Linked DNA regions of Astyanax mexicanus. The main gene of each other region encodes a partner of the protein of the gene in region 2 in a complex. Links are inferred from orthologs where the notes say so. Each region holds a gene or a part of one and is shown on either strand. Other genes may lie near its edges.

What was found.
Region 1: coq7 (region 2) and coq4 share a complex: the UniProt entries of both Homo sapiens proteins name them as parts of the multi-subunit COQ enzyme complex. The link is inferred for Astyanax mexicanus from reciprocal best matches to the Homo sapiens genes COQ7 and COQ4.

What each region holds. Positions count from the first base shown.
Region 1 is NC_064408.1:19,906,092-19,923,064, reverse strand, and holds the start of coq4 (ubiquinone biosynthesis protein COQ4 homolog, mitochondrial), read right to left. Parts: upstream 8,863-16,973; 5' UTR 8,771-8,862; coding exon 8,740-8,770; exon of another isoform or gene 8,684-8,739; intron 1,713-8,683; coding exon 1,566-1,712; intron 594-1,565; coding exon 497-593; intron 1-496. Other genes in the region: traf2b (TNF receptor-associated factor 2), read left to right, coding at 13,599-13,810, 16,877-16,955. UniProt on the Homo sapiens protein: Lyase that catalyzes the C1-decarboxylation of 4-hydroxy-3-methoxy-5-(all-trans-decaprenyl)benzoic acid into 2-methoxy-6-(all-trans-decaprenyl)phenol during ubiquinone biosynthesis.
Region 2 is NC_064412.1:39,289,797-39,307,119, forward strand, and holds coq7 (5-demethoxyubiquinone hydroxylase, mitochondrial), read right to left. Parts: upstream 7,937-17,323; 5' UTR 7,807-7,936; coding exon 7,713-7,806; intron 6,172-7,712; coding exon 5,993-6,171; intron 5,888-5,992; coding exon 5,773-5,887; intron 5,058-5,772; coding exon 4,918-5,057; intron 4,782-4,917; coding exon 4,713-4,781; intron 2,239-4,712; coding exon 2,161-2,238; 3' UTR 1,628-2,160; downstream 1-1,627. UniProt on the Homo sapiens protein: Catalyzes the hydroxylation of the 5-methoxy-2-methyl-3-(all-trans-polyprenyl)benzoquinone at the C6 position and participates in the biosynthesis of ubiquinone.

The DNA.
Region 1 (16,973 bases), on a different chromosome or scaffold from region 2:
CCCCCTCTTTTCAACCAGGTGACTAACTCATTTGTGCAGTACAAACTATGGCGGGTGTCCCTCAGCCCAGGTGGAGCCCAAACCAGGCGCCACAGCATCTTATGTATGAATTTTACCAGTTAGTTTATAAGGAGCAATAAAGTCACTCCGCCAAATTGCAGTGTTATTCAGAAGTTTCAGTTTAGTTCTCCAGCACCAGGGCTGGAGTAGCATTAGCATAAGCCGCTAACCGCTATTAACGGCCTGTAGCTTGCTCCTTACCCGGGCTAGCACTGCTGGAGCGGTTAGCCGCTACTGAATTAGAAGTTTCTTATAGTGTCTGTTAAAATTCGACTTATAATCCTGATGTATGAAAATAGACCACAAAATAGACGTTCACTGGTAGTTTGCCTTATAATACGGTGCGACTTATAGTGCGGAAAAATGGGTTAATCTTACATTAAGAGTAACGGCAGAAACATTTAACCTCTGAAAAATTAAAGGTTTCAATACATACGTGAGAATGGTGTAACCTTCAGGGTCATTTCTCATTCTGTCTCTTAGTTTTATCAAGGCCAAGTGCCCAGTGGTCTCTCCAAGCACAGCTACCATATCTGCATAAAAGAAAACACTATGTATTATGAACATTTGCACTCGAAAATGTAAATCTGGTTTATCATCAAATTTCCCAAACGTTTAGCACTTTGCAATAAACCAATCAAAGAGGAACAAATCTGATTAACTCAACGTGACTACTACAACAAATTTAACACACAATGTGACTTTAAATGACTAAAGCATCTGTTCTTCGGTTTGCTCCAATGTTCTTAATCATATCCTACCAAAAGTTTGCTATGAGGTGCGTTAGACATTTGTGACCACCACTCCAAAATCTTCCAGGACTTCTTCTAAAACTAAGTCTTGGTGAACTTTAAAGTATGGATCATTGTCTTGTTTGAAGGTGTGCACAGCAAGTTGCTTGGACATCATTTGACCTTGCAAAAGCACAATTATCACAAGCATGCCCTAAATTCTTGGAATATTCTGGAATTATCTTTACAGCCAAACCCAAAATATGAAAAAGGCATTTGTAGCATGTAAACCCAAGAATATGGAGGCCACAGTCCATGAAAAATGAGCCAGGATTCCTCTATGAATTAAATCTGCAGTAGATCATTACAGTAAAAATGTGCTCAAGGATGCCTGTCATGAAAGGGTCGAAGGATTGTGAGACTATGAGTTCATATTGAATTTGGATATACTACGTTCTGATGAAATAAACTGCAATATGCTAATCATGCAGTGAGGGCTGAATAATATTGAGTGCAACTACAGTACACAGTTACTGAATCTGAAAGTAAAGTACCTCAAAATATTTGGGTATTCCTGTTGTTTGTGGTTGTGGTTGTGGTGGTATTTTTATTTCTTTCTAGAAATAAAATATGTATCTGTTCTTTTCCTTTCGATTTTATAATTTTCATTACAGTAACACGAGTTGTACAGGAAACAGACATCGGATATTGGAGTACCAGAGCCATTTAGTAATCTAAATGAAGTCATTAATATTGATTGTTCTGGAGCCTCACCATGTCTGTATGGATTCTGCAGAGCTGCTACACCAGATCCGACGGCCAGTAGAGCTTTCTGAACAGGACTTGTTTGGATATGGCCCGGATACAACTTTCCATATTGGAGGTCTGAGTTCCAGCTTGTGTGTTGCTGCCTGGCCAACACTGCAGTGAAGAGACATTAAAAAAATTATTTAGTTCAAAAAGAAAAACAGCAGTCCCTGTGGTGTGGTGAAGTCTGTGGGTATATTTAGTATATACACCATATGGACAAAGTATTCATACAAATACCGGCAAAACTCCTTCTCTAATCTTACTTAAAAAGCTTACTCATTTATTTGGATGAGTCAGCTCACGTGCAGCTGAATCATGCAATCACAAACACAGCTCCAATACCATTACATTTGCAGACGACACAACAATAATCTGCAACATCACCAATAATCACAATGGACCATAGAGAGAGGAAGTGAAACTCCTTAAAGAGTGATGCATAGCCAGCAACCTATCCCTTTCCTAAATTGAGCAGCCTTCAATTCCGGTGTCCATACATCTGCTGATCTCACAGAAAAGCCAAACACATTACATATCATCAACCCAACAGTACCTCCCCTTTTTCCTACAGCTAAGGAGAGTCAACATGCCACCCATTACAGCTCCTCTGCAATTCTACAAATCCACTTTGGAAATTTTTGGATACAGTAAAAGAAGGCCGGATTACAATGAGGCCAAACAGCGTTATCTGTTGATTAGCGGCATCTTTTCTGGATAGTATACAACAACCTGTTGTGATTTTAGAAAGGACATGTGGAGGTAAGATAATCATTCATCTCAACTAGACATATGAATTGAATGCCTTATCAACTGCTTGCCCACATACAGTGGTATAAAAAATTTGGACAGCCCTGATAACTTTCATGATTGTCTTTTATAAATCATTAGTTATTCAGATAAGCAATTAAAGTTAAATATAACATATAGCAAAAGAACACTGCCCATATTTATGCATTTGTCTAATTTTGTTTAAAGAATTATTGCACACTTTCTGTATATCCCATAAACTTAATTTCACTTCTCAAATATCACTGTGTTCATCTGCTATATAGTTATGATATAGTAAACTGAAATGGCTGATTATAAAAATAATAAAAACGATCAGGGGTGCCCAAACTTTTTCATACCACTGTAGGCTTATTCTGTTCTATTCCGGTCATGCAGTTAGTTCAGATTCTTACCAAGTCTACCAATGTGTTTGCTATTGGCTTTATGTTATGTTTGACAAATGCTGTTGCGGTTGCCCTGTTGCCCAGCACCGCTGATGCAAACAAAGACACTACCTTGATTAATCTATTTTCTGCTAGTCAGTCATTTCCTGGATTCACTGGTTGCTGGTTACAACAACAATCTCCCAATCTAGTCTGCATAGGACAACTTAAATTGGATGGCAAAGGCAAAATCAGACGAGCGAATACTTTTGGCAATATAGTGTACTATATTGTATTTATAATAATTGGTATTGTCTATTACTGCACTGGAGATCTAGCCTAAGAGTGTTTTCTTTATTGTTCTACCCTGTATCAGTATAATGAAAATAAATAAATCAATTTAATTAAATAAAACCCTTTTTTTTTTACTATATTATATTTTAAATGAATGATCTCTGTGATGCAGTTTGTCCTCAAATAAATTCTACTTTCAAATATGAACTATAAAATGTTTACTATTACAATTCAATCTACACATCTTTAAAGACATTGTGATGGATGAACGGACAGACGGACCGTAAAGGATCAATAGTGTCCAGAAGTGCAAATGTACAGCATGTAAAGTAAAGTGTCAACAGAGTCTCGGAGTGTAGATGTCCATGTTGTACAGTGAGTGATTTTAGTAGAGATAAAAATAGCCTGTGATTTAGAAAACATATGAGACTCATTTCTCATCTGCCCTCCTCCTCTTTCAGCTCCACTAGAAGGAGTCTCTGATGGCTCTCGGGACAAAATATCTCCTGAGTCTGTCTTTAGAGCAGCTCTGTGACAGAAAACTGCCACTGAAACTGCTCCCGCATTTGACAGAGTCGAATGGCCTTATTTATTTGATGTACTCCGGCGGTTCGGATGCGGTCCGAAATTTTGTCAATGGATCAGTATACTTTATCGTGAACCATCAGCTGAAGTGATTACGAATAATTTTACTTCAAAACCCTTTGGTCTGTCAAGAGGTACTCGTCAGGGCTGCCCTCTCTCCCCTCTGCTGTTTGTGTTGACCCTAGAACCCCTGGCAATAGCAATTAGAGATCACTCAGAGATAAAGGGAATTTATATTTCAGAAATAGAACATCAGATCTCTTTATTTGCAGACGACATATTATTATATCTTTCAGACCTAAAAAACACAATACCTGTCTTGCTTAATTTGATCAATCAATTCGGAAAATTTTCAGGATACAAGGTTAATCAGGCAAAATCGTCAATACTTTTTCTCAATGAACAAGAAAGAATTAGCCCAACAATTCAACATCCATTTACAGTAGCTAGAGATGGGTTCAAATATTTAGGAATTAATATATTACACCGCAAATTAAAAATATGATCCCATACAATTATGATCCCATTGTTGCTCAGGTAAACGCCAATTTAGATAGATGGATGACCCTCCCTCTTACTATAATTGGCAGAATCAATGTTATTAAAATGAATGTTCTCCCCAAATTTTTATATCTATTTCAATCGATTCCCCTTACACCCCCACCAACATTCTTTTCTAATATGAGTGTTCATAAAATTCTTGTGGAACAATAGACGATCAAGACTTCGCTTAACATTACTATATCTTCCTTATGAAAGAGGGGGGCTTCAACTACCAAATCTTTTATGGTATTTTCGAGCAGCTCAACTTAGATCGGGGTTTTTTTGGTTTTCTAATCCTTCCAATTTACCATGGATCCAGATAGAACAAAGAAACACTAAGGGACTAGCTCTGGATTCTTATCTATATTCTGATTCTCTTAAAAGACTGAAGCAGAAAACAGCAAATCCATTTGTTAAAACCACAATAATAGTCTGGCACGAATCACAGGAAATGTTTAAAAGGCTGGATGGGCTATCACCATTTACACCTATTTGGGGTAATTCATTATTTTTACCTGGCAAATCTGATCAGGGATTCAGACTTTGGGCTCAATTGGGTCTACAAAAGATTTCAAATCTTTATCTAGATAATACTCTAATGTCCTTTGACTATCTTAAAGAAAATTTTGGGATCCCTCCTACTCATATGTTTAAGTATTTGCAAATACGGAGTTTTATTCACTCCAGGTTACATTCATATAAATGTCCCCCCCTAAGCACTGTTGAAGAGCTAGCAACATCAGACCCTTATACTAAAGGCAAGATTTCAACAACTCCTGAAAAACTTAATCAATTTAATTATAATATCCCTGATAGTTGTGTTAAATGCAGAACAGAGACGGGAACCCTGTTTCACTGTATGTGGAAGTGTGAACATGTGCAAGAATTTTGGAAAAAAATAACGGACACAGTTTCTACCAGAATCCACAAAAAAAATCCCTGTATGTCCAGAAATCTGCATTCTCGGACTGATACCAGAAACATTGGCTCTGAGAACACATGAGAGGAATCTGCTCAACCTTTGTTTGTTACATGCGGAACGTCTTATTGCCAGACACTGGAAAAGTGTTAATTGTCCCTCTCTGAACATGTGGATTAACGAACTTTCTTCCTGCTTAGCGACTGAAAGACTTACGTATACAATTAAACAAAAAAATCATATTTTTCATAGCATTTGGGACATTTAATATTTTTCTAGAAACAAGACCTGATCTACCAACTCCTAGAATTTAACACACACCAAATAAGATTGTGCCTTATAATTTGTTGTAATTTAATTCATTATTTACATGTTTACTTTTACACTTTTGCAGATGGGATGTGCTTACTGTTTTTTCATGCTTAATATTATTTAATAATTTATTTTCTTTGATTTCATATAATTTTTATTTAATTTAAGTATCATTGTTTTTCTGTTTTCTTGTAACTGATGGCTCCATGTTTGGGGGTGGGTGGAGGTAGGGGAGTTGTTTAAAAACTAAAAGATTTAAAAGATGTAAAAGAGAAAAAAACATGTTGAATGAATGTTGTACCAAGTTCAAAAATAATAAAAAATATGCGTTAAAAAGAAACTGCTCCTATGATCCATGAAGATGGTATGCAGTAGGTGATCATTATCATTTATAATGAAGTGCAGTTTGTGCAGTGTCCTCCTCTTGCATCTCGTCTCTCTTCTTTATGCTTCCTCTCCAGCACATCACAGCATAGAAAAGACAGCTGGACACCACGGTTTGATAAAACATCAGCAGGAGCTTCCGACAGATGTTAAAAGACCCTAGCTTCCTCAGGAAGTAGAGCCGGCTCTGCCCCTTCCTGTACAATATATCTGTGCTGGCTGACCAGTCCAACCTATCATCCAGATGCAGTCCGAGATACCTGTAGGTCTTAACTATCTTCACATCAACTCACAATCAGAGACAGGCTGTGTGGGTGGCCTGGCCGTGCAGAGTTCCACCACCATCTCCTTGGTTTTGGAGTTGTTCAGCAGCAGGTTGTACCTATTGCACCACTCCACAAAGTCTTCCACATGGTGTCTGTACTCCTCCTCCTTCACTGCCCGTAAACAAGCCACAATGGCTGCACCTGTGCTGCTGACCACAGTCTCTGATGTAAAGTACTTCAGCCTGTCATACTGAGGTCTGCCACTGAGGTAATCAGTAATCCAGGAGACCAAATATGGATCCACCTGCATCCTCACCTGCTTGTCTCTAAGTTGGAGGGGCTGGAAAAATAAAAAAAAACATGACTAGATGAGAGTGGGTCGGGTGGAAGCTCATTTGCACAGGACTTAAGTAGTCTGGGACACACTTTGTCCGGCCCAGCTGCCTTTCTTGTGTGGAGTCTCCTCAGCTCATCTCTGCTCTGCAGTGAAGGTGTGTAGAGAGGGAGAAGGGGGATTCAGTGGTGCTGTAGATCAGGTCAGCTGAGTGTAAAGAGGGGGCAATAGGGGTCGTGTGATCTGTGCTGTCAGCCTGTGGGAGGGGTGCATGAATATGAGTATATGAGAAGGATGAGATGAGGTGGTATGTGGAGAATGTGTCTGCCAGAGCCTCAGGGTGTTGAACAGAGCAGTCGAACCAGTTGTAGAAGAGGTTAAACTCATTGGCTCTCTCTACATCACCGTCAGTGGCACTGTCCATCCTCTGCTTACAGCTTGTGATTGTCTTCATATCATTCCATACCTTCATGTTATGCTTCCTCAGCTTCTGCTCTCTACGTTCCTAAGCTCCTCCTGGTTGTTGGCTATAAAGGTCCTCCCCGTCTTGTTCAGAAGGTCTTTAACATTGCTTCTTTTAAGGTTTCTTCCCATCACCTTGGTGCTTATTCATAAGATGCTTGGACCTGTATCTATGTAAAGCTGCTATGTGACAAAACTTGTTGTAAAAAGCATTATACAAATAAATTTGAATTGCATTTTTAATTGAATTGTCAAAAGAATATGAACTCTCTTAAGCAAGAAATATAAAACACTGCAAGTCTACAGAAAGCCATATCATATGATGTCACCAGCAACTCAAGCTGTTACTATTGTTATTTTTTTATATATTTATATTTGTATGAAGCAATATTGACACATAATGTTCATGTTAGTGTCAGAAAACTCACTTATTCACTGATTTGTACACTTCTGACATATATTGGCTGGCTTCTACAATGTTCTCCTAAACTCCTCCCACAGACTCCTCCCCCCACTTTTCATCCTATAAATGCAGCCCATTTTAAACTTTGAAAAATGCTTCAGGATGTGACATTTTGCTATTAAAAATGTATATTTGTTTTTACAGTACCTATATTTAATTTACATTTTTTACTTTACAGAAGTTTACTTGTATCTGTTCTAATTTTAAAAATAAGCTTGTTGCTCAGAACAAAAAATATTTCTAGTGGTTAGTAGACTTTTAATACCAATAATACCAATGGTAGGTCTGTTAAATACACAAGCAAATAATTAGATACATATACACTCAGATATACTGTGTATATATACTTAATGAGTTATTACTTTTTTTTAACTTAGGCACCAGATGTTCAAAAAACATATAAACTCCTATATGACTATAACTATTATAGACTAGTATATTTTTTACTTTACAGTTACAGTTTACAAGTTAACCTGTATAGTGCATAGTGGTTTAACAAGTAAAAATAAGCTTATTGCCAAGAAAAATGTTTTTAATGTTAATGTATAAATAATTTAAATGTATACATTTATAAAATAATTGTTTAGGCATATAAGATAGAACTACTGGTACATATACACTCAGAAATACTGTGCATGTAAAATAAAAGAGTACAGTCCGTTTATAATTTGAAACATTATTTAATTATTTGAATATACTTTTTTTTTAACTTAGGCACCAAACTTTTAAGACACATGTAAATTCAGAAAAAGCAAACCATGAAAGTTTAATATTATAGACTAGTATAAACTATATTTTTTTAGGTCTTTCAAATACACAAACTTATATAATTTTTAATATATAATATGATATAAGAATATACATATACACTCAGACATATTGTATATACATAAAATAAGAATTATACATATACACTCTTGACATAATATAAGAATATAGTCAATGTATAAAAAGAAACATTAATTATTTGCTAATACTTTTTTAACTTAGGCACCAAATGTTTAAGAAACATAGAAAAAGTACAATATTATAGACTTGCATATATTTTTTACTTTACAGAAGTTTACCTGTATCTGTTCTAGTGCTTAAACAAGTAAAATAAGCTTCTTGCTAAGAAAAAAGGTTTTAAATAATTTTGTTTACATACATAAAATAGTATACAAGTTAAGTTATATCTGAAGACTCAGCTTCAGTCCTGTCTCCCATAGCGACACAGTAACGTTAGCTTAGCCAGCTAAATAGCTTATTTAGCTAAAGAACCACGGCAGAAACGTATTTATATAAAGCTCAGGACATCGTTTAACTATAGTTTAGCTTTAGTTACCCGAGTAAAACTCCAGAATTTAAGCAGACAGTGCCATTGTAACGCTGTGTGTCGTATCGTGTGCACACTGAACAGTAGCGTTAAATGGTTTGCGTTCGTACCTCCCACCCTGGATGATAAAACTCTCCTCATCGTGTCAGCCTTTAAACAGCCCTCGCTGCAGACTTGCTGGACGTTTTGGTGAGTAGTTTTTTCGACTGTGTGTGTATCTGCTCTACAGACACCACACAGACACAGAGTTCGTGTCTTTTCGTTGCGAATCGTCTCCGCTTTGGTAGTCAACGTGCTGAACAGGCCGTCCTCGTGTTTATGTCACTGGAAGGTTATATGGTGTTAGCTAACCTAGCGCTAGCTGCTGTTTATGATTCAACATTAACATTATAGTAGTTTTTACTGACCTTAAAGCTGGTTTACTAACCTAACCAGAACAGTGACGTGTAGTTAAATAGCGAAGTAATATTTTAAACACTGTAAGATGTTGTGGTTTCAGTTGAATGTTTTCTAGTGACTGTATTTGTCCTACATTTTAACACTTTAAAGTCTAGCTGGGTTAGCTAACGCAGCACAGCACAGTGCTAGAGAGGAGTAACGTTAAATAATGCTGTACTTTATATAGTTTTATAGCTTATAACTAGTGTTATTTTGTGAGCTTCAGGTGTTTGCTAAATAGCAGTCTTGTACTCCGTGTTTAGGAGTATAATGATCAGTATTTCTCTAGCTAATCGTTTAGCTGGCTAGCAGTTTAAGTAACTAAGCTACAAGTCTGTCTATTGTTTACACAGTGTTTGAATCTTCTCAGGACTGTTTTAACCTACAATACTGTGAAATAGTCGTCTTTACATCAACGTTATGTATTTTACAGCATTTTTGTCCTTCAAATAAAAGCAAAAAAATTTGCTACAGATTTATTTTGTCTCTTAAGACTTTGACCCAAGAAAGAATAATAAAAACATTCATAAACAGACAGAAACTTTAATATTAGTCTACTGTGTTAACTAGATGGCTAGATAACAGGTGTATACATGCTAGCTACCTACAGTTTTCAGCTGATGCTATTTTTCTTGTTTTAGTCATTGTTATGTAATATGTGGCAAGCTTGTAAACTTAAACTAGTTAACCTTTGCCTGGGAACATTGTGTGCATCAACAATGTGTTTTATAACAACCATAGCACAACTTTTTAGCACAAAATTTACATTTTTACATATGTCTGACAGTTTAAAACTGTAAAACCAATGGTTTCTGTGACAATATAATTAACCTAAAAATATTTCTACTAGTGCATCTCAAAAACTTTGAATATCATTGAAAAGTTACTTCATTTCAGTAATTCGGTTCAAAATGTGAATCTCAGATATTATATAGATGTATTACACAAAGAGTGATCTATTTGAAGCTTATTTAAGCTTTTATTGTTGATTTGATCATGGCTTACAGCCAATAAAAACCCAAAAATCAATGTGACAGAAATTTAGACCCATTGGTACTTTTGGCAGTGTGCCAAGTCCTGCTCAAAAATGAAATCTGCATCTCCATAAAAAGTTGTCAGCAGAGGGAATCGTGAAGTGCTGTAAGATTCAACAGGAAAACACTGCACTGACTTTGGACTTGACACAGTGGCCCAACACCAGCAGATGACATGGCTCTACAAACCATTACTGGTTGGGGAAACTTCACACTGGACCTCAAGCAGCTTGGACTGTGTGTCTCTCCACTCTTCCTCCAGACTCTGGTTTATTGATTTCCAAATAAAATGTAAAATTGACTGATGATCAGTAATGGTTTGGAGAGTCATGTCATTTGCTGGTGCAAAGTCATCTAAAAGTAAGGCTTCTTACAGTGAAATCAACAGTTAGTGTGACTGTAATCATCCTAAATGTAATTACAGAGTCTGTGGGGGTCTGCACTTCCAGACAATGATTGTAGTGTTTTTAAAAGAACACATATTTTGTGCATGGCTCTGACATGTGGTTAACACATGATACACTCACTTTGCTTATTTATAATGATCCATGTAGATGCTAGTCTGTTTGTTGTAAAGTTCATGGTGTGTGTGTGTGTGTGTGTGTGTGTGTGTGTGTGTTTACACATTATCAGTTTGTTAAATTAATTAATTAATTCATTCATTAAATCTCCCAGACTGTGAAGGAATCATAAAGTCAAATATAGAGAATCCTGTAGTAGCATTTAGGTGGGGTCTTATATGGGATGCTGTTAACTTGTGGTTTCTGAGGCTGGTAACTCTTGGTCTTCCTTTCCTGGGGTGGTCCTGATGAGAGACAGTTCTGTCATAATGTTTTTGATGGTCTTTGCGACTGCACTTGAGGATACTTTAAAAGTTCTTGAAATTTTTCGGGTTGACTGACCTTCATTATTTAAAGTACTTTTTCTTTACTTAGTTAAGTAGTTTTTGCCATAATATGGATTAGAACATTACTCAAATTACTATTCACTGAATACCAACTCTACATCTTCACAATGCTCTCAAACACATTAAGAGACAAGAAATTAAAATAATGAACTCTTGACAAGTGCAGCACAGCTGTTAACTGTGTGTGTGTGTGTGTGGGGGGGGGTATGCAAGCATGGGTATAAATTACAATTGCTTTTTTAAGATGCTTTTGGTTGCCATCAGAAACTAAAATAGAATTTTGGTTGCATAAATCTCTACACCTCCCAGTAATTTGTACTTGTGCGCAGTTGTTTGAACTGATAATCTTGGAATCTGCAGCCATCCTTCTTATTTCTTGCAGCTCTTTGGAATTTTAGTCAGTCAAAATAAAGTGGTTACAAACCCTTTGTGTGTTGGCACAGATATGCTTCTAGTTCTATCTTTCAGCAATTAAATATAAACAACAATTTGGTGTTCTGTGCAGAAATCTCGAAGATGCATGCAATTTGGATGAGCAACTGCCCAAGTATTCATTGTCTGCTAGCTGACAAATAAAGATATGTGATCCATCTACATAACTTCATTTGGCAAAGTTACAATGAATGCTAGGATCTGTATGTGGGTTTTTATAACAGGAAACTGCGGAAACTGGCATCCAATGTGGAAGGGTGTGGGGGTGGGTTGTGACCTGTGGTATTTTATGTTTAGGGTGAGTGTAGGAGGGAGTTAAATATATTTAAAATCAAGCAGCTATATTAATGAATATATAAATGCATTAAAATGTACTTATTTTAACAAGAATTATACATTGCCCCGTTTGCCTAAATTGCCAAGTTATCTCATTTTAGCCTGTCTTAAAATTAAAGCGTAGGAAAAATAAGGAAAGTGTAGAAAATAATGCATGCATCAAAACAAAAATATGAAATAGTTGTTAGTCACATTCATTTGTAGTCCGTGGTGCTGGTAGAAGCAAATGTTTAAAAAAAATGGAATGTATGGAGTTTGCATGTCTTTTTTTTATCTACAGATACAGTATAAACAGCATATTTATGTGTTGCCAGATATTCTTTCCGCTATTCACGCAAACTATAAAATAGTGTAGGACAGAGGAATCTTAAGAATTGTATCTGCATTTGTAATCCACACCTGCAGAGTATGCTTCCTAGAACTAGTACCTAGTAAAATATTCTTATCAGGCATTCATGCCATGCCACTGAAATGAGGTGTAAATCAGTACACGACTAAACATGTTAGCGATGTAAGTATACAGGCATTCAGTCTAGAAGTGATCTGTGATGTTCTGTTGATCTAAAATCTTTAGGACACCCTGGAAATGAATGAATTAACAAAAAAAACTAAACAGGAACTGAAACATTTTTCGGGAGGAAATTTTCAAAAGAAGTGGGCCATTTAAAAGGAAAGTGTGTGTGTAGAAATTTTAATTTTATACTATTGTGACACTGGGGTGAACTGGATATGCCTGACCAGTCAAACACCACCCCCTTGTGTGCATCGCTGTTGTTTGGTTAAACATGGGGCAACCCTTTATCTGTAAGATCTGTTTTCTGTTGAAAAGACCTTCTGGAAAGTTCAGCACAAAAAAAAATGAATCATTTTTCATTTCACTATGTTCTTGCAGCTTAGTCTTATTTCCTAATCTAGTAGACAAAGTGCTGCTTTAGCTGACTTCGAGAGGCGTAGGAGAAGTGATACGTTTTTCGAGATGCTATACTTTATCAGAAACATCTAATCGAGAAGTGTGGGTGAAGCGAAGCATTCATTGAGATGTACTTTGGTGGAAATGTGTGATCATGTGCACCCTCAGGTAACATTCAGACCATGCTTATGTAAAACGGTGGAACATGTTCTCTTTTCCTTACACGCCGTCATACAAAATTAACGACACAAATATTTTGATGTGATGTGTGTCTGTAGTTTTAGTTTAGCTTTATCAGAAACTATGATGAGGATTTTCCAGTAGTCGTTCCACTCCATTCCCTTCGGCATCTTGTTTACGAGTTATTTGCTAGGTGACTAAATTTGAGGAAGTGAGAAGAACGAACAGTGGAAACGACCACCTTTGGGTTAACCACCAATTAGGATGAGGTGCCACCTACTGGCAAGGAAGGAGCTATACTCTCTTTAGTTACAAATGCCTGAAGAGAACAATACTAGATAATAATAGATGTATTAAAATATACATATTATTTTTTTTAATATAATTTTTCCAGGGATGTATATGAGTGTAACAAAGCCGTTACATACCAGTCCAAATTCTGCACAGTTCACAAGCAAAAACAAAAAAACAAAGCAGGACATACATAGTGTTTAGACAGGACATATAGAATTACAAACGAGGGATTATAAAAGGGGATTTACAGACAGAAAAGTAGGACATAGAGTAGCTACTTTTAGTTTTCCAAGTACTACATATTACTTTTTGACCAATCCACTTGTGATTTAAAATGTTTGTTAATTTGTTTTATATGTAATCTTTGTGGTTAATGTATATTCCGTTTTGTCTTGTTTTTTATTTTCAGTCTTTTTCTTCTCCTTTATGTCTTAAAGGATGGTCAGCCTCGCGGATAAATGGAAGGGAATGGCACGACAATCTTTGCCCTCTTCCGTGGACTCCACATTGCCGGGAATATCACGGCAGGTACTCTCTGTATCAATGGAACCTAAGTACCAGTGTCAGCAGTGCAAAGGAGTTCTGAGGAAGCCCTTCCAGGCCCAGTGTGGACATCGGTTCTGTGTGTTCTGTTTTAAACAGCTTACAAGGTACAAAGCTCTCTGGACCTCATGCTCTCCAGAGCATGCCAAACTCCTCCTTTCCCAAAAAGGCTTGCTCAGATCCTGCCAATTCACCTTCTTTTTGCTCAGAGCCATCCAGCTGTCTTCCTGTGTCTCCATCTCCTCCATCTCCCTGCAAAATCCCTGTTGCAATAAACTGCATTTATCCAACCTTTGTGGCTGAAGAGATCATCATTATGTGCTCTTTCCTTGGTGAGCTCTGCAACCATGCTGACTCATGCAGTATTAAGTTAACAATGCCCTTGTAGACCACCAAAGTCTTGCGTCATTCTGTAGTCATCGTTACGCAGATATTTGGCGTGCTAGCATCAGATTTTGGATCTAACCCCAGTTTTCAGTGGAAGTAATGATGGGTTTTTCTAAAATGATCCTCTATTTTGTTCTGTGGTAAATAAATATGTTTTTTTTCTGTGTACGTTTATATCTTGAACAGAACTGGATCCTCTGGTATATACGATTGTAAAAGAGTCGTAATACTAATATTGCCAGGTGCTAGCTAATGCTAATGCGGCTGTGCACTGAATTGACATCATTAGACTGTAGTATGCTAAACTTATTAGCAAGTATTAGCAAGTTCAGTTTGTAAAGCGGTTGTTTACCATGCAATTCCATCAACATGACCAGCTTGATCACTCTCATAGACCAGCTTAAACCATTAAACACCAAGCACCAGCCTAGATCATCTGAAACCAGTTAGCAGCAGAGTTAGAAGCTGGTATTTATTTGTTTTTTTTTAGAAGGGACATAATAGGCTGTGGTGAAGCTGTTCTTCATCTGTTCTTCATCTGTTCTTCATCTGTTCTTCATCATGACCAGACCCACATTTAAACACATTTCATGGTTTTGTGTTCATCCTTTACAAAGGAACGATGAACTACAAGCGATGCGACCGTTATAGCCTCCTTTACTTTAGTGTAGATTACTGGTGTCTAGCTGATGCACATTAGCATTAGCTTCCATGTAGCCATGTTAGTATTATTACCATTGAATGACCTAATAAATCAGAAGATCCAGTTAACTTCAGCAGATAAGTGTACACAGAACAGAATGTACAGTGCACTGAACATATTTGTTTACTACATAAATAAAACTCATGCAATTTTCCTATTGAAAATAGAGGTAAGATCCCAAAATAGGTGCCCAATATGGGCGTAACAGGATGGCGCACCTACAAAATGACAATATAACTTTAGTGGTGTACAGATATTGTCTCTGTCATAAGAAAACTGCATTGATAAAGAAAATGACAATTGTTTTCTTCTGACCGTGATGTTTGAGGTAAATAAGTCATACAATTTACAGAGAAAACAGTATGTGTTCAGTGTAACAGGGGTTAAATTTCCTAAGAAGTGGAAAGACTGGAACTGAGCATATTGGATGACTACTAAATTATTCATGCATTCATTCATTCTTAAAACATTCTGTCTAATGTTCTATGATGCAGTTTTAACCTTAACCATGTGATGCTAGGAAATGGCTTTCAGGTTAGTTCATTTTTAAAAAAAAGAATTAAACACTTCCTCATTAGTTGTAACGTTCTGTTACTGGAAACTGAATTTGAATTTGACACCCATATTCAGTTCTGCTTTTCAGTTTTAGCAGTACTTTGCCTTTGAGTGCTTTGCATACCATTTGTTTAATGTTATTCCCTTTTATAAATATATTATTGCAAACCATATTCTAATTCTAAAAGCAGCTTTTGCATCAATGTTTTTTTTTTGTATGTTTATGGTGTGATAATTAATATTAGGCCTGCCACAATTATAACATACTCTCTAGACTGCCGTTTTTCAAGCTTATAAAACCTAAAAACCTTTATCGCATGTTTACTTTAGATTACTGAACTGTTGCTGAGGTACTTTTTGTTTGGGGTTAAATGTGGTCTGCACGGTTTGCTGTTTTGTGTGGTTGGTAGTGCTTGTTAGCTCTTCTGTGTTCTGATAATTACTGTTATGTGCTGTACTCTTGAGAGGGGAATCTGGTTAGTAGTGTTAAAAATCTATAATCTTTTTCCTCTTATGGGATGCCAGGCTTAGATTTATACAACAGTTAGTTCCGACCTCACAATCTGATTGGTTGAGAAGTGATCTAGCCGTGATGATATTTCTTGATAACATCACGGCCTTCTCACACTAAACTTGTATCTCTCCGCCGACGCGTTGCCGAGTAACGCCGTATATACACAGGACACCCGCAGCAGCGTTAGCTTAGCACAGACTAGTGCTCAGCCGTGGCAAGCTCACCCGAAGCGTTGGCTCGTCTTTCGTGGAAAAAAGGGAACGAAAATCGCTCGGTTAATGCCGTCTTACAGCCAGAACGCTAACCAGCCAGGCTAGGTTAAGCTAAGTTAATGCTAAGCTAAAGCAAGCTACGCTAACCTAACCACAGTCCAGCCAGCTAGCTAAAACCAACGCCACCCAGGAAAATAAGCAGAAATGCTAAAATTCGCAGCTTTCACCTGAAGACGACTCCATGGAGCAGGAGAGGAGGGTATTAGCGTTATTTCACGCTCCTAACGTTACCATCTTCACTATTCCCAATTTTGCTTTCAAGCTAACTTTCGTGGTGTTAGTCTGCCTGAACCATACACTGTATGTGGTTAAGTTGTGGTGGAACTACTTTTTGGCGGAAGGCTCAGTCCATATTAAAGCATATTCAAACTGAATTTCTTAAAGTTCTTTGATTTATTTTCTTGATTTATTTAGTAAAAAAAGAAACTGTAGTATAAAAGCAATAGAACACTCAAGGTCGTGTGTTATCGCGATCTGTAGGAACTGCAACACAGAGCAATATATTATCATTTTATTGCAGTAGCTACTAATGAATTTAGCTAGTAAGCTAGATAGCTTCTGGTTTTTTGTAACCAGCAAGGCCAACTTAGGCTCGTAATTGCAAAAAAAAAATTGCAAAATGAACCAGCAATAATTTATATGTCTTAATTGTCATCTAAAATGTCATAATAGTGACAGGCCTAAATATGGTATTACAATCTACAGTTTACATTCATCGCTTGTTTTATTTGACCCCCACCAGCTCGGGCCCTATACCCTGTGAAGCCTGCCGTGCTGAGGGTATTTTCGAAATGGAGCACTCCATGCTTAGCATCACTGAGGTAAGAAATGTTTTCATC
Region 2 (17,323 bases):
AGTTGCTGCCAAATGTGGTTCTACAAAGTATTAAGCAAAGGCTGTGAATACTTATGTACATATGATTTCTTTGTTTTTAATTTTAATACATTTTCAAAACTCTCAATAATTTTGTGGGCTATTTTGTGTAGAATTTTGAGTAAAGAGATTAATTTAATACAATTTGTAATAAGGCTGTAACGTAACAAAATGTGAAATATATATATATATATATATATATATATATATATATATATATATATATATATATATATATATATATATATATACATACACAGACACACACAAAATATAATTTCTATAAAATATACAAACATTTTAACACAAAATACAATATCTAAAAAATGTATATTAATTAAAATTTTTATTCTAACAAATGTATTTATTTATTAACTGTTAATCAATTAGTACGATTTGTTCTTTAAATGGCCACAAATAATATCTATTTTGAATAATACTACTGTACATAATTTATCATTGATTAAAAACTCAATATCCTAAACAATATCCAGAGATGCATTTGACTACATTATTAGTGTAGCTTGTGAACACTAAAGCCCCTTGATGGCCCTTGAGCCAGCAAAGCACTGCTCACATTAACTTTGTCACTTTGTTACTGCCTGTGCCGAAACATATAATAACCACAACCGCAATACAACACCGTCCACACAAGAAAAGCATGAACCCTCCTACAAGGGAAATGATGAGACAAATGTCACAAGCACACTGCTTGCATTTAAAATGCCAGGTGTGAACAGATATGCATTTTCACATGGTGATAATGGGCTATTTTGTGTAGAATTTTGAGGAAAGAGATTATTTAATACAATTTGTAATAAGGCTGTAACGTAACAAAATGTGGGAAAAAAAAAAATATATATATATATATATATATATATATATATATATATATATATATATATATATATATATATATATATATATATATATATACACACACAGACACACACAATTCTAGAAAATATAATTTCTATAAAATATAAAAACATTTTAACACAAAATACAATATCTAAAAAATTTATATAAATAAAAAATTATATTCTAACAAATGTATTTATTTATTAACTGTTAATCAATTAGTACGATTTGTTCTTTAAATGGCCACAAATAATATCTATTTTGAATAATAATACTGTACATAATTTATCATTGATTAAAAACTCAATATCCTAAATAATCAATCAGACCACAATAGTGTACTACGTTACAGCCTTATTACAAATTGTATTAAATTAATCTCTTTCCTCAAAATTCTACACAAAATAGCCCATTATGACTATGTGAAAATAAGTTATGCCCCTTGCACTGATATCTTTTGGCAAAAGCACAACTAGATAGGAAATCGATCATTATTGATCTTTATTGTTGTGATGTAGTGTTAATGTGTGTGTGTCTGTTAGACTTTAATGGTAATACAGAGCAAAACATTTAAATGCCAAATAAAGGGCATTTTACGGGACTGGTGGCAACCCTATCTCTGGAATCAAACTGATGGAAATATGTTGTAGCAACAGATAACTTTGCTACCCTGAGTGAAGCCCAACTGCCTCCAGGGGTGAGGCTTTACTGTAACAACAGAAAATTTGTAACAAAGATTTTAAACAAATTCCTTTTTCAACTTGAATGTTTATTGATTATGGCATGTATATCACAAGCAGGATAAACATCATGAGGGACTGCAGGAGTGGCAAGAAAAAGAAGCTCTAAAAAAACTGACATAATATAAAATAACATTACAAATACAAACCTATTTAAAATAGGTTTTCTGTTCAGAGACTATCAGAACTATTACTTTTGGAAACCACCAGGTGGCGTTTTTTCCATTGCAGAAGTAGACAGACACAGGCACTCCTGTCACTAAGTTCTGATTTGGGTTGAATGATTTGAGCTTTACTGACTCCCCAAACAGAGTTTAGTCCAAATAACTGGTATAAATACAAAAAAAAGCAATAACACTGAAGAAAACACATGCCTTTTCCTTTTTGCCTGTACACATTTCATTTGCTCTAGCAAATTCTGCTTGAACAAATTAATGTTTAATATTCAAGAAATTACACCCTCAACATTGTATCATTTTACAGTTAAAATATAAACAAAATACTTATATACTGTACATATTACCGAAACACAAATTTGTACTTAAACACGCTGAGACACATAAATGGCTGCCTTACATCCAGCTTGTATGACCGTTTTCAAAAGCAAATATCCAGGTACCTGAAGTAAACGAAAAAAGTAAAGATTATGAATAAGCAATTCACTATACTTTACAAAAAAAGCAACATGGTCATGGTGAAATATGACTGGTTTGAAAAAAATTTTCACAGTTTACCGATTTCCCTGATGTAATACACCTGACCTTACTCTTTTACTAACACTAACTTTAAAACACTACCAGCAGGCTCAGGAGTGAGGGGAATCAAGTGGCAAGGTGCCTCAGAACTGCTATGGAGAACCATTACCAGGATACGTTCACATCCTGGGTTATCTGATCATAAGGATATGTTCACACAGCAGGTGAAAGTGTCTCAAATTCGTTTTTCTCATTAAAGAGGCAGAATACCAAGAGCCTGTTGTTCAGCCATAATGAGTGTTTTGTTCTGCTTCTTGGTTTCTTAAACCTTTGTTTAAACAGCCCTTATATTATTAGAATAGAGAGATCATTTCAAATATTCAAAACACCTGTTATCTCACTATCCCTCCACTGAAACCCTCACTCACAGCTGTCGTCCATTTTTCCTTCTCTTTGACGTGAAAGTCACATAAATTCTGATCTGGTTGTTTAGGCATTTGCAATGCTGCGAATCAGATCTGTGTCAGATTTCAGAAACACATATTGAAGTGTCTCAAAATGGAATGGAGAATGTCAGATTCAGTGTGTTTTTTTGCACATTTGAGCCACTACCACTTTCTGTATGAACATAGCCTTACTGGCCAACATAAATTTCTCATATTTTATTTAGAGATGATCAGAGATGCATTTGACTACATTATTAGTGTAGCTTGTGAACACTAAAGCCCCTTGATGTCCCTTGAGCCAGCAAAGCACTGCTCACATTAACTTTGTCACTTTGTCACTGCCTGTGCCGAAACATATAATAACCACAACCGCAATACAACACCGTCCGCACAAGAAAAGCATGAACCCTCCTACAAGGGAAATGATGAGACAAATGTCACAAGCACACTGCTTGCATTTAAAATGCCAGGTGTGAACATTGTGTGATATTTTCACACAAAAATGCATGATAATTACAGGTGTTAAGAGGACTAATGCTACATTCCTGTGCCCGTCAAGCAGTATGTTTCTCTGAGATGAAAGTTGATCACTGTAAAAATAAAGTTTTTTTTTAAATGTATATATTTTTTTTAAGCTGAATAACATATACATTGTTTATAGATGTCTAAAGATTGTGTTACTAGAATTCACACACAAAAAGCACATTAATGTTTGATATTTTACCATTGTTTACATGCTGAGTGAGGTTCAAAATAGGGCTGCCACGATTAGTCGACTAGTCACGATTATGTCGACTATTAAAATAGTCGACGACTAATTTAATAGTCGATTAGTCGTTTTTTTTTTTTTTTCTTCTTTGTTTTTCTCTCCAAACTGCTGCGACTGCCTTTCTGTCCTGGACGCACATGCGCAGTAGTGGAAACCGGGGTAGGTAGTGGACGACATCTCAGGACATTATACAGACAGGCTCTGGTTTCATGGCTACCCCGCTACAGAACTCAAAAGTGTGGGATCACCAAGAAAATAAAAGTGAAACGCGTGCAATGCAATATCTGCAATGAAGAACTTGCCTTCCTCGGCAGCACAACCGCGATGCACGAGCACCTGAAAAGGAGGCATGTTGTGGCTGATTAAATGACGAAGAAGCTAAATTGCTATTTAGCTGGTAAAATTAGCGTAAACAGAGCGTTAACTTAGTACTTAACTTACTCATCTTGATAGCTTTAAAACAGAGGTCACTAATAGGCGGACCGCGATCCGGATCCGGACCCAGACGTTGTCACAAATGCCGTCCCAAACCGATAAACTACAGAGAAGGATTTCATTCTGACAGTGGCTTCTGTTTTCAGTGCTTTTCGGTGCAGTAAACTCACAGATCAGTCATGTGTGGTGTAAAATCACCAAACGCTCTCCTCTGCCAATCAGATCTGTGCAGACCGCTGCCCTGTGTACGGTAATGTACACAATATCTGGACAGAGAGGCATTTTTTATTAATATACTTTTTTTTCATAATAGTTCAAACAACCTCACGGTTGAGATGTTTCATAAATGCCAGTGCCTTATCCTTATTTTACACAGTTGTTTACACTTTATGCTAAACAGTAAAATAATTGTCTGTTACAACAAGCTGCATATTTCATTAAAGGTTTAATGAACTATGATTTTAATTGTTTTTATTTTTAGTTAGCATATAGCTGAAATCTAATGTTGGTTGTATAATAGCAGCTGCATTCTATTGTGATAAACTGTGTTTTATATTCAATTAACGTATGATCCGATTAGTCGACTAATCATAAAAAATAATCGGTGATTAGTCGACTATAAAAATAATCGTTTGTGGCAGCCCTAGTTCAAAAGCACAGTTATATTGGTCAGTTTGTGCCTTATAGAAAATTTCAATATGCCCAAGGTGAGAATTCTATGTTAGAGGGTGTTGACAGTAACACTTACTGATTCAGCATCATGTTCCAGACCAGTGTCATGGTGTTCCAACTCATCGTCACGAAACTCTTTAATGAGCTGGTGGAGGTAAAAACAATTACTACATGAATTAATGATGTTTCAATATCAAACAGCCAGAATAAAGTATACTACTCTGTAAACTGTAACTGTAACAGTATAAACATAAAATACTGCTCAAATTTTCATGTCAGACCTGTAATAACTCTCTATATCTCTCTGGATCTTCTTCCATTAGCGCCCGGATTTGGCTGTTGTAGTGTTCAGAGATGCTCTCCTCTACTGCCACCGTGCAGGCCATCGCACCTTCCTTACCCAGGAGAGCTGTAGAGGCCCCTACAGACATAGAGACATCATCTTACAAATACTCATACAACGCCCTAGGCACTGTAATGATTACTGTTTATATTTTCCTAAAAATTGAATAATGTTTTTTTTAACATGATATTGGTTTCGATAGGGCTATCATTTGGAGTTAGCAAATTTGATCCCTGGTGATGTCACAAGTCATATGTGTCTGGGAATCACAAAGAGTATTCCTAGCCTAACTCTCTCTGGGTGAGAAAAATGGTCCTCCTTCTCCCACAAACACTTAGCACAATGCTAGCAAGTCTGTTAGTTGATGTAACAGCTGTCCTATGATGCTACATAAGCGATAGTACCATAGTATGGTAGGGGAGACCTAGCTACTGGTTAGGAAATAGAACCTGGGTAGGAAATGAAAATAGAAAAAAAAAATAAAACAAAATAAATGTGTATAATAAATTAATATGTGAGCATGTCATTGTGAGTAGTTTGATGTGAATCAGAATTGTTTTCAGCTGATTCCTGCAAATACACTGACGTGGCATAAGTCTTGGGATAGCAGTATATAAACTGATCATGAACTGCACTGACTTTTGTAGTATGTGTGTGTGGGGGCTCCTGTTTTAAATGTGAATGTGATTTCTGCTAGTGTTTCAGAGTAAGTTTTCAAAAGTAAAAATAAGCATAAAAGTAACATATTGTTTGCTGCACTATAATAATGCTATTTATACAGAATCAAACTTACCAAGTAAAAAACCTGCAACATTCCACAGAGGTAGCAACAACGTTGGTCTCACCCTGTTCTCTCCCAAAATCTCATTGAACTTCTGCAAGTGCATTTTTTCTTGGTCCCACATGTTCTGCAAATGAAGTATATTGCAAGGAATTAGTATTAGACTTAAAAACACATGTCTTTTTAAAGCATAGCTGTTTAGACATACGAATAACAGAAGCATGTTTAATACCTGTATAATAGGGCCTGACTGGGTTCTTCCCAGGACAGCCATTTGTCCAGCATAGATGCGATTTGCCCCATATTCTCCTGCATGGTCCACCCGCAGCATGCTGTCCAGCATGGCCTTTTCCTCCTTGTCCCGGGGTGGGGGAAGTACAGTGTATTTTCTGCACAACAGGGAGCTATTTACTGTAACAAGCATGCAAAGGAGATCTTTTATTAGACAGTAAAACATGTTAGGAATGAGATGTACAGAATAAATAGAGATAAATCTTCCGTCTGATGCACGGTACAGTGCCAGAATTAACAATTCTCTCAAACCATACTCATCTGGCCTGTCAAAATAAAGTGCAAGTTTGATTTAAAGCAGCAGTCCTGAAACGATACTGAACTGAAAAAGGGCAAAGTATTATAATAAATGCCATCAGTGTCCTTATAAAATATATTCCTTCTAAAAACAACTGGTCCATTAGGTTTTCCTGGTAGTTTTATCTTAGCCTCTTATCTGAGCAAGTGCAGAGCTGCTAATGATGCTGATATAAGAGCTACTGTAAAAATGGAGGTATAATAACGACAAACTCAGTCTTCTTCTGCTCATTCTCCATTCAGAGCTAAAATAGAGCAGGACAAGTCTGTTCTAAAATCAACAGTTTTATCCACTCTGAAAGGAGACTGCACTATTTTGCATGCTTTAAAAGTACTTGCTCAATTCACATTCCCACCAGAGAGATATCTAAACCCCAAACCCACAGACTGTTTTAATTAATTCATAGATGTAACCTCATGTAAAAGATGGCTAAGATTACTATCTTAGATTAATAGTTTAAAAGACTCTTTTTTACTTAATTACGAGTGAAAAAGCCAATGCATACAAATTATTCATCCTTCGTTAGTTATTTCAGAGGATAATACACTTAAGATAACCACCAAAACTACTTCAACAAACGAAGAAAAAAAACATACATTCCCCAAACTATTATTGATTAAAAGCACACTTTTCTTTTAAATGGGTAGCATTGCATTATTATGCTATTATACTATCAAACAGTGGCATTTGTTGGTCTTAATGTGACAATAGTGTTTAGCACAATCATTTATAGAGTTTTTGAAGTTGTGCATTTTGTGTGTAAGCATGTTGAATACTATTTGTCCTAAAAACTTGTAATTAGCTATTTGAGAAAAGAATATGAAAAGAAAACATAAAGAGTGTTTCATGATTTGTGTGGACTGTTTGAAGAGTTTATTTAAAAACAGATGCTTGCTAATCATTAAACATACCATTATCTGTGTTTTTGTTTTTAATTAACTTTTAATTTGTACTTCAAAAATGAATATAAAGATAACATTTATACAAAAAATATATAAGATATGACACTATGTGACTGGCCCATAGTCTATATCAAGCTGGGAAGAAAATGACTAGCAAACCTAGGTAAATTAGCCTAGCTTACATTGTTTCTGGCCACAAACTGAGCTTCTGTAACAGTTTTCAGGGAGCTAGCAAAACTTAATTATGTTGCTGTTGCGTAAATAAAACATCAGGGATTATATCAGGGAAAACTGTGGAACATCTATAAGTTTTTCACAGAAACAGTTAATATTAGTCTGCACTTTAAAAAAGCACGGCCGCTCATTAACAGGAGAGCCCAAGTACAGACAGGGGACGGCCGTTACTTAACTTACAGCACTCTTAGCTTAGCTTAGCCTCACAGCGCAGCCTGTGGAGTTACCTCTGTTTCTGACAGCTGGGGTGTTTTCAGCGTTTAACGGGTAGAAAACCCGCAGGAAGCCGCTCCTCAGAGCGCAGAGCTGAGCTCTCTGCATGATTACAGCCCTGTAAACACTGAGAAAAAGAGAGAAACTTCCCTGGGAGAGAGAGAAGCTACACAGAGAGAGGCATGTTATCACACGACCCGCAGTAAAGGTTGTGTTTTCAGCAGCTAGACGCCTCAGAATGACGTGCTGGCGGCGTACATAATAAAAGTCCCTTTAATAAAATACTTAATAAATTGTAAAGGGCCATTCCACCGAATGGGTGCCATTTGCTTGTTCTAACTCTTCTAAATTAAACGTGTTTATTTTGTTTTATCTGTTTTTAACAATTAATCTAATAACACATGTATTTAAATATATAAAACATGTAGAAGTTACTGGTCAAACACAGTCAGCTTTACTTACTTTTATTCAAGGTTTCTAAACCAAAAATGGTTACAAAACTTGCTATTTATGACAAAACAAAACTCCTGTTAATTCCTGTTACTGGAAATCACATCTGTTACTGGCACTCATTCCTGTTACCTTTTATGTTTTGAGTAACAGGAATGAAATTAACAGGAATGAGTTTTTAACATTTAATTAGCAAAAACATGAAAAATAGCTAAATAGCGGCTATGCTAATAGTATGAGGACACCGAGCACATTCTAGACATTTTTCCAAAATTTGTATTTTAAACATAAACAAAAAAAATTTAATTTAGGTAACAGAAATGAGTGATGAGATTCATGAGAGTCATAGTTACAATAAGATCAAATATACAAAAAATCAAATAAGAGAACTTAATTTTGGTCTACCCATGATCTTCAGAAGAACCAACTGAAGTAACTTTCTGTTGAAGATGTGTGTAGAATGTTCCAGATGTTTCAGATGGGGTAATGTGTTACAGAAACAGGAATAAGTGAAATCCAAGGAACTATAATGTGTATTTTAGCTTAAATTCTATTGATTTATTATTTAAAGCATAGATGGGATTTGAATTCACACAACAATGCAAAAAAAAATTACATCAGATTTTAATAATTGTATTTCATGGTTAAGTTTATATCGTCGCTGTCCAATGAAAAACACTTATCTCCAAAACAGCAACTTTACAGGAGAGAGAAAAAAACTTGGAAACTTTCAATAGAAGTCAATGTAAAAAGAGTTTATTTCAGGTCATTTTGAAGAGTTTCTATTGGTCCGTTCATCAAGAAATTTTGGCAAAGTGTAAAGGACAGTTTGTCTGTTCAGATTATGTAGAAAACTAAAAATCGACAAAAATGGAGATAAGTGTTTTTCATTGGACAGCGACGATATATTTTTTAAATGACATATCTTACTTTTGCAATTAGGTCAATGTACAAGACACTATGCTTAATAATAAAATGTATTTTAAAGTTTTTTTGTGTGCACATTTATACATGACATTCCCTGGGGACAGAAATGGCACCCTTTTGGTGTAATGGCCCTAAATTAATAACAGTCTGCATAATGTTATTATGACACTTTCTCTTTTTTGTTATTTCAGTGCATTATTATATGTTTTTATTATATTTTATGAAAATTGCTGGTAATACAATACAGTACTAGCAAGTACACAACATAACATTATTGCAATATATAAAGAAGATATTTATCTGTGCAGTAATTGTTCATTTCTCAGATAAATTTTTTAAAATGTTTTCATACATAATACCTGCACATAGCAAATATCTCTGATATAATATGGATATGTGAATTTAAGAATTTAAGAAACACAAAAACATGCATTTATTAAAAAAAAATCAATACAAACTAAAACAAACTTTGCATTTTGCAAATTTCACAAATATGGCCTAAAATCTAAACTAAAATTGTACTAAAAGTAATATTTTCACAGCATTTTACATTATGGGGCTATCTTACACACTGAGCTAATTTCTGTGTTACACCCTGCCACCAGTCTATTTTCACACCTTGTGCTCACGCCGTTTAAATAGCAAAGACTCTTGTGAAAATATCTACACCGATGGGTGTGGTGGTCTGGAGGTGAGGTGTGTTCAGGCATAATGCTATGATGGCAACAGAAAACACAAGTGGGTCCTGACTAATTTAAACCCTGACAACAGTCAGACGTTCACTGCTATTATGGCTACGCAGGTCAGTTTCCTCTGCTAAAAAGTGCAGATGTGCAGTTAGAGCACACCTGGGTCTTAAAGCAAACGGAAAGTGACACACTGTTTGGATCATTTTTATGTTATGCCCAAAACACATCCAGGTTTAATTAAGAGAATTAGTGCATGCTTTTTGTGTATTTCGAGCCGTGCAAGGCATACTTGTGTTCTCATAATACCAAACACAAACTGACATGCTCTAAATAAATCTGTTCGGTGCACCATTGATGGCTCGGCCCTAGATCACTAAAATAGGGCCCAGTATCTGCCTTGTGTTTGTGTAAGTTTGCAAATCAATCTATTTTATTTATCATAAAAAACATGATCAAAAAGAAGTTGTATGCCTTTATGGCAATTAAGAAATTAAGAAATTACTCTTCTTAATAATATCAGTTAAATTTCATTATTGTTTGTGTTCAGTTTTAACATTATAATTAATTCAAATATTTTTTTCCTATCATAACTTTTTTTTCGTAGCTTCTCACAAAGTAAAGATTGCTTTTGGATCACATGCTGCACAGACTGCTCCGCTTTAGAGTTGTGTTGCTGACAGTGGCATTGGCAATATTGCACGGGTGATTTCCACAAAATCCTTTGGATTATGGATGCAAATGTCAAACCATGTGTTTTCAGTCTAAAAAGAGAAAGGTTTATATAACTGGATAATGAACCAAAACATACCTCAAAATTCATCATGGATGAGACACAAACAGAAGTGGTTGTGTAAAAAACAACCAATGCAATAAATGCTGTTAACGTTAACACATTGATGCAATGCCTATTAATATTGCTTTTAATAAAGTCTTGTTATTGCGCCTATTTCCTACTTTGATGTCTCTGATATTCAGGCGCAGTGCAGTGTATGCATGTATTTATACAATATCTTCTGTATCTGGGTATCAGTATTGTTTTTTTTTTTATTTCTCAGCATCCAAGCTTGATGTGTCTTTAGACTCTTGCTCATTTACCATAGCTAAGGAGAGATAGTTCATGCGTTAACTCAGAAGAGCCCATGAAGTATGTGTGACAGCCCCTTGTGAAAAATACTTTACAGCATTTTAACTCATGAAGTTTCTGAGTAACATACCCTGAGTGCATCACAGCACAGTGTGTTAATCATCATTATAATTTACAGAACGCAATTACAATAATTTTAACAATTTCAATTGAATTAATATACTTTTATGAAAAGTATTACGTTACATATAACAGATTTTTATTTTCTAAAATATATATACGTATATATCAATTATGAACCTTTTTTACGTTGGATTTTATCCTTAAATTGTTTACAGTCATGTGATCTTTAATAAAAAAAACATGATTGAGCAACTCAATTAATTTAACTGATTACATTTTAAAATTTGTATCAATATTTACAACTGGGCCTGGTCCGTTACAGGTTAGGCAATTGGTGCTAATGTTATGGCTATGTAACAGTGCAGTACATTTTGAATAAGAATCATCCAGACGGGATTAGTTTCTCAGGGGGACGTCTGTGAAAAATATTTCACACATCTACACTTCTTCGGTGATAAAACTCCGGACTGCAATTGAAAAAACAGGAGGACCAGTGAGTTTTTTTGGCTTTCTCAGTCACATGACATCACATTCAGCAGGTAATTCAGCCTGTAATTTTCTCAGGGGATGTCCGAGGAAAACACGTACATGGTCGTTCCGGATGGAAATAAAATCACAGAGGACCCCCCGTAAAAGAGAAAATTACCCCAGGAAGAAATTAATCCCATCCGAATAGGTATTTACAACAGGTAACAGTATTTGGTAACACTTTATAATAACTTTCATTAATATATTTTTAACTAATGATCAGTAGATAAGGACAAAGCATTAGTTAATCAGAATTTGAATATTAACAAATGCTCACACATGACACTTATTTATCAGCATAGATATTCATATTAAAAATGTTAGCAAATCATTAGCTCATCAGAATATGAACATTAATTAATCGCTAGTTAATGCAAATTTTAAACTAGGTAAATGTTTACCAACTGCAGTTCATGTCGTCAATTTGTTCATTAGTATTTACAAATGTAATTTATTAAAATGTGAAAAATAACTTATTAATCATTAGTTAATGGTATATTCATGAAAGTGTTACCCAGTATTTAATCGCAGCTATTATGAATATTTGTTTTTAAGTTCCCACCTCTAGCCCTTTATGTGCATTTGAAATCACAGAACATGGTTAGAATTACAAGATCCTTCAGGGACGTTTAGAAGTTCTTCAGTGTTCCTTTACGCAACCTATAAAAAAGATTTTTAGAAGAAATATGTTTCCTAAAGGCACTTTAAGTGGTTTCTCCTCAGTTAAAAATGGTAGAACTCCCAAAAAGTCCTTAAGGATTGTGTAATTTTAATAGCGTAGAGTGTGAGATAATTCAGCAAACCAAACCAAAACATAACACTGTAAAATATCCAACAATCTGAAGTGAGTGTTTTGGAGTGTGTGTGGTTGCATTAGCAGACTGAGTCTGAAGCAGGCCTGCATGGCTCGAAGGAGACAATGCGTTGTTTACCGCTGCTCCACGGTTGGGGTCAGACGGCAAATAGCTGTGGTGGAGATCGGCTAGCTACCCCAGGCTAGTGTGAGTCAATGCGTTTGCCCAGAGCAGGGGAACATGACACGTCTCGCATTGACGTACACACGTGGGCTGTGGGCTCGGTCTATTCAGTATACATAAAGGTCTTTGGTATATTATTTCAGGACTAGTAGCCAAGTTAATGAGGGGAATCTGCGGTTTCAGACTGCTTGTTGGGCAGTGCCGTATAGGACTGTGGGTTTTAGAGAGAAAGTTTCAAGGAAAGATCCAATCAGTTTATATTTACAGATGAAATGTCACAACCTTAGGTCAGAGAAAAAGTTGGGAAAGTATGGAAAATGCTAAAGTCTATACTACATTTAATTTTATTTGATTACACACAGCATGGGCCCAAGATATTTAATGTTTTGTCTGCACAACGTTTAAAAAAAATAATATTAATCTATAATTTCAGCAGGAAAAGTGGTTTAGGACTGCTAATGATGTAAAACAATAAAAAAAATATGTTGCTTCAAACAGGTGATGTCAGAAGGTGATTACAACATGATACATGATTTGATGCAATAGCAGTATCCATTAAAGACTGTGTCTTTAATGACAAAGATGGGCAGAAGATTTTCAAGATGGGCAGAAGATAACAAATGCCTGAGAAAATAATTAAAATGTGTAAAAACAATGTTCTTCAAAAACAGATTAGAAGGGATTTGCACAACTATTCCTGTACAGTTCACGAGATATAATTAAACCATTCAAGAATTTCAGTGTATAGAGGATAAACTAAACACCTGTGATCTCCGATCCCTCACATGGCACTGCATCAAGAACTGTCATTCAGCAATAGCTAATAGAACCACATGGGCAAAGGATTGCTTTAGCAAACTGTTGTCTATCACTATAATATTACCACATTCACATATACCACTTAAAACTTTACAACAGCTTTTATTACTATACATACATAAATCTTGATTTACCATTTTAATTTTTTTTCATAATACAAATCTTTCAGTTTCCTACACATTTTTTTATGATGAATGGAGCAACAGTAACCAACTGACCTAAAAAATAATTTACACTGACTTCCACAAAAAGATTTTTCCTCCTTCTGTAACTTTAGATATACAAGACAGGGATGGACAGTGATGATATACAGTACCCTCCAAAAGTATTAAAACAGCAAATCCCATTATTTCTGCTGTAGATTAAAAACATTTGAGTTTGGCATTGAAATGTACATTTGAGACACAAGATCAACATTTCAGCTTTTATTTTCAGCTACTTACATCTGGATCTGATACACTGTTCTAAACTTGTACATTTTTCTGTGCACAATTGCTGTCTGCAGTTAATATACCAGTGACGACTTTCTTCTTCAGGACAAAACAATTGTACTGGTACTGGCCAATATGCAAAGTCTTTGATTGATTTTACATCTTCTTTTAGTTTCTACTCTCTTGGTTTCTACTCTATTGATCCACGAGGGGAAATGTTTACAGCAATGTCTACAGCAGGAATAATGAGAATGCTTGGTAAGCTCGTTGACCCTTGAAATACGTACACACACACAGATGAATCCATTTATGAGAAAGGGTTAAGGTGCCAATTGCAAGTTTTTTTTCCACTTTGCATCTTCTCTGAAGAGTGGCAACATGGGAGCCACAAAACAACTCTCAAATGACCTGAAAACAAACATTGTTCAACATCATGGTTTATTGAAATGATAAATAAAAAGCTATCTTAGAGATTTCAGCTGTCAGTTTCCACTGTGAGGAACATAGTGAGGAAATGGAAGACCACAGGGACAGTTCTAGTAAAGGCCCGAAGTGGCAGACCAAGAAAAATCTCAGATAAGGATGGTGAGAACAGTCATAGTCAACCCACAGATCACAGACCAGCTCCAAAGACCTACAACATCATATTACTGCAGATGGAGTTACTGTGCATCATTCAACTATTCAGCTCACTTTACACAAGGAGAGGCTGTATAGGAGAGTCATACAGAAGAAGCATTTTCTGTGCACACACCACAAACAGATTTGCTTGAGGTATGTTAAAGCACATTTGGACAAGCCAGCTTCATTTTGGAATAAGGTGCTGTGGACTGATGAATCTAAAATTGAGTTATTTGGAGGGCGGTATTCATGACAGATAAAGAAACAGAATTCCAAGACAAACACTTCATCGTGCTGTGAGGCTGTGTGTTCAGTGCAGGTCCTGGGAATCTTGTTAAAGTTGAGGGTCGCATGGATTTCAGTCAAAATCAGCAGATTCTTGAGAACAATGTTCAGGAATCAGTGATAAAGTTGAAATTGCGCCGGGGCCGGAATACTTTAACAAGACAACAACCCTAAACACTGCTCACAATCTACCAAAGCATTCATGCAGAGGAACAAGTACAACGTCCTGGAATGATCATCTCAGTGCCCAGACCTGTATATTATTGTAAATCTGTAGTGTGATTTAAAGCGGGCTGTTCATGCTCAAAAACCATCAAACCTGACTGAATTGGAGATGTTTTGGAAACAAGAATGACCCAAAATATCTTCAACTAGAAGCCAGACTCTCATTGGAAGCTATAGAAAGTGTTTAGAGGCTGTTATTTATGCAAAAAGAGGAACTACTAAATATTGATGTTATTTTCTGTTGGGGTGCCCAAAATGTATGCACCTGCCTATTTTTTTATTAAATAATTATTGCACACTTTCAGTAAATCCTTTAACTTAATTTCAGTTCTCAGATATCACTGTGTTCATCTGCTATATGATATATTTAACTAATATTGCTGATCAAAACAACCAATGATTTATACAGGAAAATCCTGTAAATTATCAGGGGTGCCCAAAACCTTTTTATACCACTGTATTTGTGTACTTGTACCATTGTGGGTGCAGTAATACAAATAAGCACTGGGGGCCACAGTGCACTCAAGACTGTTTAAACGTTTTGAACCTCATCCAGCATCTCTTGCTCAACATATTGAAGAAAAACCTCTGGAATCTTCTTGATTGCCCTGGGAGAGAATTGTGTGCAACTGGGTTAACCAGATGTTTAGACTGCGTTACTCTGAAACAGTTACCCCAGACATCATTTCGACATCACACTCATTATATTAGAGTGTCAAGGAAGGAAAAGTTCAGGATGCTAAATCTGTGGATAGGTACGTGTGCATGCATGTGTTTGTGTGTAAGTGCGTGTGTGTTTGTGTATGTGTGTGTATGTTTAGGTGGTGGTGATGCTTAACAACATCCTTCAGACGCATTGAGAAACGTGGTCTGTCTGAGCACCACCTACGGGTCAGTATCAATATAATGTGTCTTTTGTTTGGCGGCATGATTGTTTGATTTTTAAACACTGGGTAACTATACATCAAAATTTCAAGATTTACTCTAAATAAACACATTATTACACATACATAGGGGAATGTTAAACTCCACTTTAAATAACTTTTTCTACATTTTATACAGTGTTTTTCAAATTTTTTTAAGTTCTTCTTGTTGCTATGGCCACAGTGTTGCCTGAAAGTTAATCCTTTTAAATAGCAATGTTTCAATATATATATATATAATGAAAGTGCTTGAAAGTGCTATGAATTTTAATTATTCATTTACTTTTTTTTACATAAAAATATCAAGCTATTTAAATGTGCCCGAAAATTCCCTGCCCACCTTTATATCTTGGAATAGCTCCACGCCTACATGTGTAATGCCCTGCTAAGTGCAGTTCAGCCACTGACCTAGTCTTAGAGTCTTTATAAAACACAAAACCAACCAGAGATCCTATGTAAACCTAGTTACTTATATACAGAGGTGGATAGTCCAGGTCAATAAGTATAATTTTAAATAGTGTAAACAGAACTGTTTAAAAATAATTAATTAATCTTAATTAATTACTGGGCAAAGCATATAACACCGATGTGATATTTGCACAAATAACACAGGAACGAACTACCATGCTGTTCTAGCTAAATAACGGGTTTGGACGTAGACACGGGTGCTTTTCCTGATTGACTAATTTTTCTGAATATTTTTCATTTTCATTTATGAGCTACTGGAGACAATGAAGGCTGAGGAATAGTTTCATGTGCAGCATGCATATACAACTCAGAGAGACCTGTTGTATTTCACAGAGAACAAGAAAAAGTGGATTTTAGCGGAAGGACACCTTTAAAAAAGACTCTTGGTAACTGGTACAGAAGAAGGACTGGCTGAACCACATGGCAAACCTTTAGCTCAGCTTAAAAGGTGCAATATATATATAACATTTAAATCTATGTTTAAAGCTGTTCACATGAACAATCCAACATGTCTGCAACTCTAGCTCAACCAGGTTGTCATCAAATGGCAGTTTTCACTAAAATTGCCCACTGTGTCACAGGCCATCAGGTAGTAAAAAGAGGGAAAATAAGAGGGATATAGCTGGGAAAATATGATTTCAGTGTACAGTATTCTGTTAATGATCTCTGTGGATAGAATGAGATGCAGAGAAGAGACACTGTGCTGTAATAGTGCTTGGTCAGGAACTGGGTCACCTCTAAGGCGGTTATGAAACACTGGTTCAGTACAGCAGCGGTCCAGCACTTTCTTTTTTATTGTTGCTTTAGTGGTATTCCCTTGGAAAGGGCGACATATCTTGTAAAAGCCCTGTCAACAACCCCGGACAATCTAATTCAGATTGAGATTTTGTGAGCTCCTAGAGCCACACAGCTCCTTTTATAGCTGGCTATATAAGTCCAGGGTGCGAGACGGAGAGTGAGCTAGAGACAGAGACCAACAGTGGTCATGTGTACGCTCAAAAATGTCCCTCTTCATCTGCAGTCTCTGTTAAACAGGTCAAAACAGGCTTCCCCCACAGACAGCAGGAACTCAGCA